Linked DNA regions of Arabidopsis thaliana. The protein of the gene in region 3 interacts with the protein of the main gene of each other region in a pairwise test. Each region holds a gene or a part of one and is shown on either strand. Other genes may lie near its edges. The genes, in order: AGL77, BLH3 and AT5G01160.

Evidence for each region.
Region 1: the proteins of AT5G01160 (region 3) and AGL77 interact in a two-hybrid assay, tested with the Arabidopsis thaliana proteins (one large-scale study listed by BioGRID).
Region 2: the proteins of AT5G01160 (region 3) and BLH3 interact in a two-hybrid assay, tested with the Arabidopsis thaliana proteins (one large-scale study listed by BioGRID).

Annotation. Positions count from the first base shown.
Region 1 is NC_003076.8:15,512,483-15,516,238, reverse strand, and holds AGL77 (AGAMOUS-like 77), read left to right. Parts: upstream 1-1,933; coding exon 1,934-3,214; 3' UTR 3,215-3,296; downstream 3,297-3,756. Other genes in the region: AT5G38730 (Tetratricopeptide repeat (TPR)-like superfamily protein), read right to left, coding at 3,548-3,756.
Region 2 is NC_003070.9:28,301,122-28,304,877, reverse strand, and holds the start of BLH3 (BEL1-like homeodomain 3), read left to right. Parts: upstream 1-2,149; 5' UTR 2,150-2,475; exon of another isoform or gene 2,476-2,927; 5' UTR 2,928-2,987; coding exon 2,988-3,725; intron 3,726-3,756. UniProt on the Arabidopsis thaliana protein: Transcription factor that is responsive of the nuclear import of SHOOT MERISTEMLESS (STM).
Region 3 is NC_003076.8:52,224-55,979, forward strand, and holds the start of AT5G01160 (RING/U-box superfamily protein), read left to right. Parts: upstream 1-1,632; 5' UTR 1,633-1,973; exon of another isoform or gene 1,974-2,051; 5' UTR 2,052-2,056; coding exon 2,057-2,311; intron 2,312-2,433; coding exon 2,434-2,492; intron 2,493-2,735; coding exon 2,736-3,504; 3' UTR 3,505-3,756. Other genes in the region: AT5G01150 (hypothetical protein (DUF674)), read left to right, coding at 1-400, 485-1,216, 1,289-1,426. UniProt on the Arabidopsis thaliana protein: Probable E3 ubiquitin-protein ligase which is a subunit of the N6-methyltransferase complex, a multiprotein complex that mediates N6-methyladenosine (m6A) methylation at the 5'-[AG]GAC-3' consensus sites of some mRNAs.

The DNA.
Region 1 (3,756 bases), about 15 Mb from region 3:
GTATTAATGCATGGCGTGTATGTATATATGAATGTATGAATGCATGGCGTGTATGTATGTATGAATGTATGAATGCCGGCGTGTATACGAATAAGTGCCTGTAAGTATACACATTCTTCAATTGATTTGCGAATCCAGAATTCTCTGTTTTCTGAGTTCTAAGAAACGCCACATTCTAGGCTCTGGACTTTGCACCTGAAGAAGAAACGTGACTTAACATCATATTCAAAGACCAATATCAAAAGATCAAGGAGGAGAAAAAGATTGAATAGATCAAATATTTGAACAAAACCAAAGGCACTTTGTGTTTGTTAACATAACTAAGATTAGAGCCGCTTCCTTGGTTAACTATGATGAACCATCATCTTCTTCTTGTTCTCAGGCAAAACGATCTGTAAAAAATAGAAAAGTAAACCAAAAGAATCAGACCAAGAACCAAACCGGAAACACAGTGATGCAGAACAAAATCTATACCAGATACAGAGCATCACAACACCACTTGATCTTTGATTCCCATTCACAAAATCTAAACCTAATACAGATATCCCAATCTCGCGATCGTTTACAAAACCAAATCAAACGAATCACAAAACTATCGTAGATGGTATTGAGGAGGAAATAACAAAATTGATCGAGACAAATCAAACCCCAAAAGATTAACACACCGATGGAACAAATTAAGTAACATAAACAAAGAACGAGAGGTGTTGTAACAGTAATCGAATCAACTAATCAAGTAACAGAGAAACACAATTCATAAACAGATCATCGGAATTGAGAATTCATAATCATCGGAATTGCCTCAAAGAAACCCTAAATTCGAGAGTTTGATAACTAACCAGATAATCGATATACCTAGACGAAGTGAGAGATCGTCATTTCTGGATCATGATCGTCGCCGACAATTCGTCGGTGAACCAAGCAAGATCGCCGGAGAAAAAAAAACTTCTCCAGACATTTTGCAAAAAAAATTAAAATTTAGGGATTTCTAAAAAGTGAGAGATATCATAGAGAGATTTGTAGAGGTTTTTCTTCTTCTTCAAACGGTCTAACTCCAATTTTTTCCGCTATATAGAAAAATTCAAAATTTGAAAAATCAAGATTCCAAGACTAAGACATGTTTCGAAAAAAAGAAATTGAAATTCCAGCTGTGACACGTCATGATTATCATGTGCAACAAGTTTGAGCTTAACCGGGATTTTAACATTTTGGTTTAGTGTGAAGGCCTGAATGTTTTTGGTTAAAGCCTAACCACTGTGATCTCATGAACATATTTAGATTCGTTTGGTTTTGGTTTTAAAATGTGACATTAATTCTAAGTCCAACCCAATTAGATCGAAGCAATTATATGTTATCTTCCCAACCCAAACTACGTATTTTCAACTATACAATGAAAATTAAAAGTGACCAAATTAGGCGACACAGAAACGAACAGGTCCAATATATAATAGTTTGGGCCGCTGTAAAAATATACACGTTTGGGCCAAGCCTAGTAAAAAAAAACAAAAATTTGGCCTCTTAACTACCGATTCCAAAATTGAAATGTAGCGTTTTGATTATTCTTCTTTAAATTGTCAGGTTCTACGAAAACCCTAACCAGAGAAGCTTGCCAGCGGCTGAAGAGTTCCGACGAAAGCAGAGGAAGAAAAATATATCGGTTAACCGACCGAACCGAAACACTGGGTAACCAAACATAATTTACAAACCTTCCGATCGGTTTTCCTTTCCTAACCGAAGCAAAGCCCGGAACCAAAAATTTCGGTTCGGAGCGGTTCGGAATTATCGGTTCGAGTTTGTCTCGCAGGCCTACAAAAAAAACTCTATAAATATATGACATATCTAAGGGTTTCCTTAACCTAATTCATTAGCTTTTTCTCTTCACTCTGAACGTGAAAACAAACACAGAGAGTTTGTCTTCAAAATCAACAAGAAGATGACGACCATTCGATCTTCACCTTCTTCCTCTCGTTGTTCCAATTCGTCTTCCTCTTCTTCTTATTCACTCGCTTCCACAAGTTTGTCTAACAGACTTGAGACTATATTCAAGAAAGCTTCAGAGCTTTGCACTCTCTGTGATATCGAAGCCTGCGTCATCTATTACGGACCAGACGGAGAACTTAAAACATGGCCTAAGGAGCGAGAGAAAGTGCGAGACATTGCTCTGAGGTTTAATCAATTAAACGAAGCCTTGAGACACAAGAAAAGCGTTAATCTTCATGGGTTCCTGAACAAGAAGAAGAAGAACAAGGGTTTGAAGAATCCGAACAAGAAGAAGAAGACGAGTCTTAAGAACGTGAATGTTTTAAAGTATCCACTCGCTGATCATTACTCTCCCGACCAAGTTTCTCAATTGACTCAGTCCTTAGAACTCAATGTCTCTAAATTCCAAGAAAGGCTTCGATTTCTTGAGTCGCAGAAACAGAATGAGACAAAACCGGATCATCAGAGTTTAACATCAATATCTTCTCTGAACCAATCTTTGAACCCTAGCCAGTTCTCGCTGTTTATGTATAACCATGGATATAATACTCTGTCTCAGATCCCAGTCTCTGCATCAAATTTCAATCAGGATTATATCTCAGCGTTACTTGAACAATCTGAGTTGAAGAGTCAGATAATGAAGCAGGAGGTTTGTGGTTATGAGCAGAACATGTGCATGAGTAACCATGGAGATGCTACGCTCTCTCAAATCCCATTCTCTGCATCAAATTTCAATCAAGATTTTTCAGCCAACAACAACTTCCAACATTCTTTTGTCTCAAACACACAAGATTACTACTCTGTTCAAAAATCTGTGAATAACAACTATGGGTTGAAGAATCAGTTAATGAAGCACGATCTTTGTGGTTATGAGCACAACATGTGCATGAGTAACCATGGAGATGCTACCTTCTCTCAAATCCCACTCTCTGCATCAAATTTCAATCAAGATTTTTCAGTCTCAATACAAGAAGAATCTGGCTTGATGCAGCAGGAGCTTTGTGGTTATGATCAGAATCAGAACATGAGCATGGGTGACATCACAAACAACAATTTTCAAGTTACTTGCGCCTCAGTACTAGAATCTGTGAACAACTTTGGGTTGAATCAGTTGATGCACAAGGAGTTTTATGGTTGTCATCAAAACATGTCTATGGGTAACATCAATAACAACAGCTTTCAACATCCTTGGGTCTCAAACGCAGACCATACTCGGCGGTACAAGAATCTGTGAACAACTTTGGGTTGAATCAGTTAATGCATGCAGCATGAACTTTACGGTTACGGTTATGCAGACTTTTGTTAATTTCTTATGATTAATTTGATGTGTTGTTGTTGTTGTTGAAATGTATTCAGATCTACAGCTTGTTTACGGTTATTAGTTGGATAGTATTTAGCAGTACATGCACTTTCACTTTCCATAAAGGTCATTATTGTATCATGATTGATGCAGAGGATATCTACACCAGTATTCTTTCACTCTATAGTAGCTAGAAACAACAAGTACTACGTAGCTTATTAGTGTCTTTTAAAGTACATATATATAAATGTGATATGTTGGCTCACTTCACAATACCTCGCTTCTGTTCATTTCCCGTAAAATACTCTTCGATATAAGACATCTATCACCTACATGACTCCAAAAGAATCTCAAAACATCGTTATCACCAGCGTAAGAGGCACTGATAGATTTATAAAGTTTCAAGTTTACCATTAACCGTCGATTATACATTACATCGAACAAAGCAGAAGCTTCAGTGACCTTCCCTGTTCGCC
Region 2 (3,756 bases), on a different chromosome or scaffold from region 3:
AAAACTCATATTAATCTGTGAACTGTAGTATTACTATTTACCTGGGAACATCTAATTAACCGTACCATAAACTCTTACTTTGTTGCCATTTACATGTAGTTTAACCAGATTGCTCTTGAAAATAGGAAAAACTCATGTGGTTAAACGGTCCGACTATTTATGATTAACAACTGCGATTAATTATATCTTAAGGATATTAATTATTATTAGCTGTCATACCATATAGCTAGGTGTACAAAAAGCTTTTTGTCCAAACAAAAGCTGTTGATTTCTTACTCGTCATTTCCTCATTTAGCACTATCATCATCACTCATCATCGATTCATCATCTTCTTCAAATTATATACTCACGATATGTATAATATTATTATTCATAAGAATACTCATCATAAATAGCTTTAGAAAACCACATTCATTTAACCTATTTTAGAAAGTTAAAAATATTTGATCCTTTCAAACTTTCCCACTGTATATACTCCCATATTCAACCAGCTGTGTGTAGGGTTTATCAGTTGTACATTTAAAAACAAACAAATAATCTACTCATAAATATATAAAATTTCATAAAAAAAGAATTTGTTGTAACACATTGATTCTCCTTGAAAGGTTTGTGTCGGCTGTTCCAATCTATGACAAAACCGAAACTCAACCAAAAACAAAAAAAAACATTAAAGAATAAAAGAAATAAACGAAATATACAGAAATTGAAATAAGAATAACATTTATTAAGATGGACACAAAGCCGTTAGCTTCGTTCCGTTAAGGAACGTCTCTACGAAACAAATTGGCGTCCAAGTCTTTCGTTTTTGGCCACTTTCACCAACTTCGCGTCCGACACAGCTACCTTATTTATTTCATTTTTCATCATCTTCTTTCGAATTCTACTTTTTCTATTATTTATTACACAACCTCCTTAGATCCTTTGGGACATGGAATCGACCCATCATAACTTTTCTTTTCATTTTATTGTTTTGCGTATAAATACATTTTCTTCATGTAGGTCAAATGAATCACTTGATTATTTAAGAAAATATGTTTATTTGTTAGTCAACTAATTGGATTTTTTCGTTCCAAGTAAGGAAATTGGGTAGTCACCAACTGGTTGTTAAGGTCCTTTAATCCCTCAATTAAGCAATTGAGCAGACACAACACTTCTTCCTCAAAGCAACATTTCTGGCAAATCAAAATTCTCTAGGCCTAGGGATACTTTAGTAATTTTAATTACTTTATATTCAATATATTGATTTGTTGACAATTCTACTTATATCTTTATTTTTAATATGTAAATAATAGGAAGATATTGAAAAAATGGAGTTAATTAGTTTCCTCTTTTGCACGTCACTTAATAAGAGTATGTGTGTCCAATGTATTACGCGAAGAAACAAGTATATAACGTATAAACAGTAGGAGACCTCAAAAGATGTTTAATTTTAATTTTGATCACAATCTTTTTAGAGAGTTCCGTCGTTATAATAATTTAACAATTATACATCAAAACATCATAGATTAGTTATGAAGTATCATGTCACGTAACACATGTTTCTCGTTCGCTTATAACCAGGGATCTGCAATTATGTAAAGAAATTAATAAAAGCATCTGTTGGTTCAGACTAACCCATGATTTTATCATCACAACCACAACTAATTTGAGATTGCTTGAGTTAATTTAATCTAACAAAGCTTTGGTGGAAAATTTTAATAGTAAAAAATTTCAACGGTTGCTTGAATTTATGTCCAAGCTATTAATTAAACTTTATAAAAACATAGAATACGAAAACTCAACTCTTTTCTTCATTTTAAAAAACATACTTTATTTTTAATTATATTTATTTGAATATAAGCACCAAGTCAAGTCAATGACAACACTGCACAGTATTCCTTCTGGTTCCAATAATATTCTTTTGTTTTATCAGATAACTTGAAATATAAATGCATATAAAAAGTCGCATTTGTATAAATATTCTCCATTATCTAACAATAATCCTATCAGAGAAAAGGAAAAAAAATATGAAAATTTCCGCTCACGCGTGTTATTCTCTAAATGGTTGGCACAGAAAAAAAACCAACAAAAAATTATTAATTTTAATATAGAAGCTTCGGTTGGAATAGAAAAACAAACAAAAAAGAATTACTGGTAGAGAATAGAGATTGTCAAATTTCTCCATAGGTTAGTGATACACTGATATTTTATTAAACATTAATTAAAAAATCTGGGTTTGTTGTCGAGGTTCCAATGATAAGATGGTTTGGTTCTGTTCTTTGTTAGTGAATGCCAAATAAAGTTTTAAAATAGTATCGGAATTTAATAAAAATCGTCTCTTGGGATTGGGTGTCTTCTCTTTCTTTCTCTCTCTTTTTGTCATCGACTGTTCGAAGTTCTTCTTCTTCTCCCTTTTTATCTCTCTGTTCCCTGATTCAGCCACATCCACAATCTCTCTTTCTCTTTTGTATAGTTTATCATCTAGCTCTTTCTCAGGTTTCATTTCTTTAACTATAATAATTCGATTGTTCTTATTAGTAGCTTCTTGATTCAAAGCTATATGATTGACTTGTTGTACTCTGTTTCTCTTTTTACAAAAAGATTTCCTTTTTCGAATTTTATCATCATCTTCGTCTCTGTTAAATTCTTACAAAAGTATGAAATCATCAGAACTTAAAAAAAATTAACTTTATATCTTTCATGATTTCAAACATCATCCTCTGTTTTTGTTTGCGTCACTGAATTGAAGTGGAAACTTTACCTAGGGTTTTGATATCTTCTTGACCTAAATTGAGTATTTCATATTTTTTTCATTTCTTGAATTCATCTGTAATTGCGGCGTATATAGAGATTAAGATGTTTTAACCTCTTTAAAGAATTGTTCTTTTATTTATCCAGTTTCAGTTTCAAACTCACACGTCTCTCTCTCTCTCTTTCTCTTTTTTCAGACAAAACATCAATCGGATGAAACTCACTTAAACAACAAAACACTTTCGATTTATTATCCAATGGCTGTGTATTACCCTAATAGTGTCGGCATGCAATCTCTTTACCAAGAATCCATTTACCTCAACGAACAACAACAACAACAACAACAAGCTTCTTCTTCCTCTGCTGCATCTTTCTCCGAGATTGTTTCCGGTGATGTTCGAAACAACGAGATGGTATTTATCCCACCAACAAGCGACGTAGCCGTCAACGGAAACGTAACGGTGTCAAGTAACGATCTAAGCTTTCACGGTGGAGGACTTTCTTTAAGTCTTGGTAATCAGATCCAGTCAGCTGTCTCTGTTTCTCCGTTTCAGTATCATTACCAGAATCTTTCGAACCAATTGAGTTACAATAATCTTAATCCTTCTACTATGTCTGATGAGAATGGGAAGAGCTTGAGTGTTCATCAGCATCACTCTGATCAAATTTTACCTTCCTCTGTTTACAACAACAATGGTAATAATGGTGTTGGATTCTACAACAATTACCGTTACGAGACATCAGGGTTTGTGAGTAGTGTACTGAGATCTCGTTACCTTAAACCAACACAACAATTGCTTGATGAAGTTGTTAGTGTAAGGAAAGATTTGAAATTGGGGAATAAGAAGATGAAGAATGATAAAGGTCAAGACTTTCACAATGGGTCTAGTGATAACATTACAGAAGATGATAAATCTCAATCGCAGGAGTTGTCTCCTTCAGAACGTCAGGAGCTACAGAGCAAGAAGAGCAAGCTTTTAACAATGGTGGATGAGGTAAGACTAAATCAAATTTGAATACTTTAAA
Region 3 (3,756 bases):
TTTTGAGACTGAAGCTTGTAAGCAGATGCTTGTGTATCCGAAGAGTGTGAAAGACCTCCAGTGCAAAAGGCTTAAGCTCAACATAAACCCTACTGAGGACATCAAGTGTTTTAAGTGCTCAAGTTACTGCGGCTTGTACAGTAATTTCAGCACCTCTAAATGTCGTTGCGGAAAATTTATGAACGAGGAGATTCAGTTAGAAAACGAGGAACAAGATTTAGGCCGGTTTCAAGATGATGATAATGGAGTATTTGTCAGCGGTAGGTGTTCATTCGTCTTAACCGATGACTTGGAAGTGTCAGTCAAGTCCACTGAACTTGTCTTGAATAAGCTCAAATCCTTAGGTTGTGCTGATGTTGGTAAGCTCGGTGAAAGGCTTCTTGATATTGGTGTGAAAGAGGTATGTTAGTTAGTTTATTCTTCAAGCGTTTGTGTTATCATTACTTTATTAGTTCTCTCTTACTATATCTGAATCTTGGACTAGGTACTGACTCTGCTGGGATGTATATTCTCCTCAAATGCTCCCTTAAAGGACATTTTCTTGAACAAGAAGATTACACAAGGTGCGACGAAGTTTTACAAATCGCAAAGTCCATGTTTGGAGAAAAAAGAAGATGAAGCAGAACCTGAAAAGGTAGTAACTTTGAAAGCATTTGTGAGGAAGCAGGACATGAAGATTTTATTTGTTGAATGCGGAGAGGAATTTGTTGAGCTTCTTTTCTCTTTTATTGCTGTCCCGCTTGAATCTGCATGGGAAATCTCTGGCAGCAGTATCTCCTTAGGTTGCATAGGAAACATGTGTAGAACCTTCAGGGACTTAAATGAGGAGACTCAAATGTCAACTTCCACATGCGCACTTCCGTCTTTCTATAATTTCCAGATGCAACTGCCTGGTATTATCACTCAACAACCTCCGGTGTACTACCGTTACAGGCTCTACGATTACAGGCAAATGAACTATGGTTTGACTACAAACGGTAATCGAACTACTTATTACCGCAAAGACAGAATCGTTCGGGTGGATTTGAAGGATCCCAAATCCCGTGGCAGCGATAAGTCTGCTCAGGGGTTCTTGAAGAAAGCGACAAAGTGTACTGTATTAGATGATCTGACCATTACATCTATGAACTCCTGCTCCACAGTTTGTTTACTAAAGAAGTTGCAGAGTCACGCAGACGATCTAGAGGTGCAAGTAATTAGTATCAGCAATGCAGAGGTATGTTTCTGTATACCCTTTTTGATCCTGTATTCTTGAAAGGAACTTGACTGACACTTGATTTTGAATTAGGCTTTGGATTTGTTGAGAGCTTCCTTGGTGACATCCTCTGCTTTGAGCACGACATTATGGAATTTGATTGCTAAGAAACTGAAGGAGGAGACTGATTTATGGGACACGGTTTCAAAGAAAGTGAAGGAAGAGACTTGAAGAAATAGAAAGCTAGTGAGAATGAACTCTAAGTCGATTGTTGATTATGTTTTTAGAATTCCGCAAAATCTACATTACATTCCTCATGTTTTCTTCCAAGCCTTATCTTTCTTTGTAAGACTAATCAAATTATTGTTTTATGGAAATTCATCTTAATAGGGTTTTTTAAATGCAGGCAAAAACTTGCACATCTTTTTGAGTTTATAAAGCAACAAGCCTAAAATCTGGAATTTCCTAGTACGATAAGACTGAAATATACAACCATTACCAAAAAAAATGCATCCATATACAAAAGTTTATAATAAGATCCAGTTGGTATATAGTAATTGGGAATGTTGAAGACATATGAAGTGTTGATCAGAAAAAAATAAGACTTGAAGTTAATTAATGGAAACCCTCTTTCTCAGCCAGAAGACTTGAAGGCTTCTATTCTCCTCCGTTGCCCACAAAAACAAAATTTGCTTCGCCGTTTTCGGCTCCGGCGTGATTCTTGAGAAGAACTGAAGTAGAGAGAGAGATCTGAAATCTCAATCTCCGATTTAACTTGGTAACTAGAGAAGCTTTTGATTCCTATTCTTTCTTTTGATTTGTATTTCTTAGGGTTCCGTTCATGTAACTTTTACAGCGACAATGCTTCAAATTCGTCTTCGGAGGGATTCCCCGACGGAAACTGGAAATGGTGCGAGGCCTTCTCCGACGGAGACGGTTACTGTAGCCTGTCCCGACCATCTCGTCCTCGCCGATCTTCCTGTTGCGAAAGGAATCGGTTCCGTGACTCCCACCACCGTAATCAAGCCCGTCGGTCGTCGTTCTCGCCGTCAGCTAGGCGAGAGAGTTCACTTCTGCGTTCGTTGCGATTTTCCGATTGCAATCTATGGTCGTCTGGTAAAAAACTTCGCTTCCTTCATTGGTTTATGGCTATATTGATTTGCCTTAAAGAGTTTTTTTAAGGGGGCTCTTCTTCTATATGTGATTGAAACTTTTTTTGTTTTGTTTTGGTTTTGCAGATTCCTTGTGATCATGCCTTTTGCCTTGAATGTGCTCGCAGTGATTCCATCTGCTATCTGTAACCATCTTTAACTCTCATCGAATTTCATTAGAAGCTTTGATAGAGATACTTTAGATTGTTTGGTAATCTACAGAGACGCAGGATTATCATAGTTTGAACTAGGCTTCGAATTTCATTAGAAGCTTTGATAGAGATATTCTAGATTGTTTAGTAATCTACAGAGACATTTTAAGATTTACTAGGCGTAGCGATTATCAGACTGAAATCTTGTTGTCTCTTGTGTGTGTGATTACTGCACAGATGTGATGAGCGGATTCAGAAGATTCAAACAATCAAGATGATGGAAGGGATCTTCATCTGTGCAGCTCCTCATTGTCTTAGGTCTTTCCTGAAGAAACTTGACTTTGAAGCCCATGTCCATGACCTCCATGGAAGCCTATTACAAGCCGATGCAGAGAAAGAAGATGGTAACCAGTCAGATGTTCAGAGCACAATGCAGCAGTCTTCAGCTTCAGAATCCACCTTGCGAGCTCCTTTAAGATCCCAGCTGCAACAATCCCGTGAACTAAACAGGTCGGCGTCATTTGCAAAGTCACAGTCTGGATTTAGTCAAGTCCAGAATTACCCTCCAGATAGCGATAACTCTCGCCCTCCTGGATTCGAAACCGCTAGTCCTAAACCAGGAATCCGGTTCCCAGACTACCCCCAGCCTATGAATCTTATGCAACCGCCCAGCTTGCCCGTTCCAATGAATCAAAACCCGGGTTTACCACAGCAGTTTGGTTTTCCTTCGTATCCAACAACAGAGAGTGGATCATCTCAACAATTCTTTAACGGTGCTCAGTACGAGATGACAAGAACAGAGAGCGGCGGATCAGAACAAAGTTCATTGCTCGGGTATCCCCCGCCTTCACCAATGACGAATCTGAATTTCCAAGGATCGTATCCTCCTCCATCATGGAATCCCGGAATGGCACCGCCTCACACGACCCAGCAGGTTAACCGGGGTAGAGACGGTCAAAGTTTTGGGTGGCCACAAGAGAACCGTGATGGCTTTGGGCAGGAGTAAGAGTAGTCTAGTTTGAATTTGTGCAATGTTAAACTCGTCGTTTGAAAGTTTCAAGTACTTTTGTTTCTAAAAACTGTGTCGTTTGTTGTTGGTCTAACATGTAATTCGAGTAAACCCAATTTCAACCGAGCCAAAACCGTGCCAAAAATTCCATCGGAAAAACCAAACTGATTTGGGTTGAACCAAAGGTTTTACACCATTTTATAGGAACAACCATCGTAGATTGCACCCACTGTGTCACTGTGATAAAGA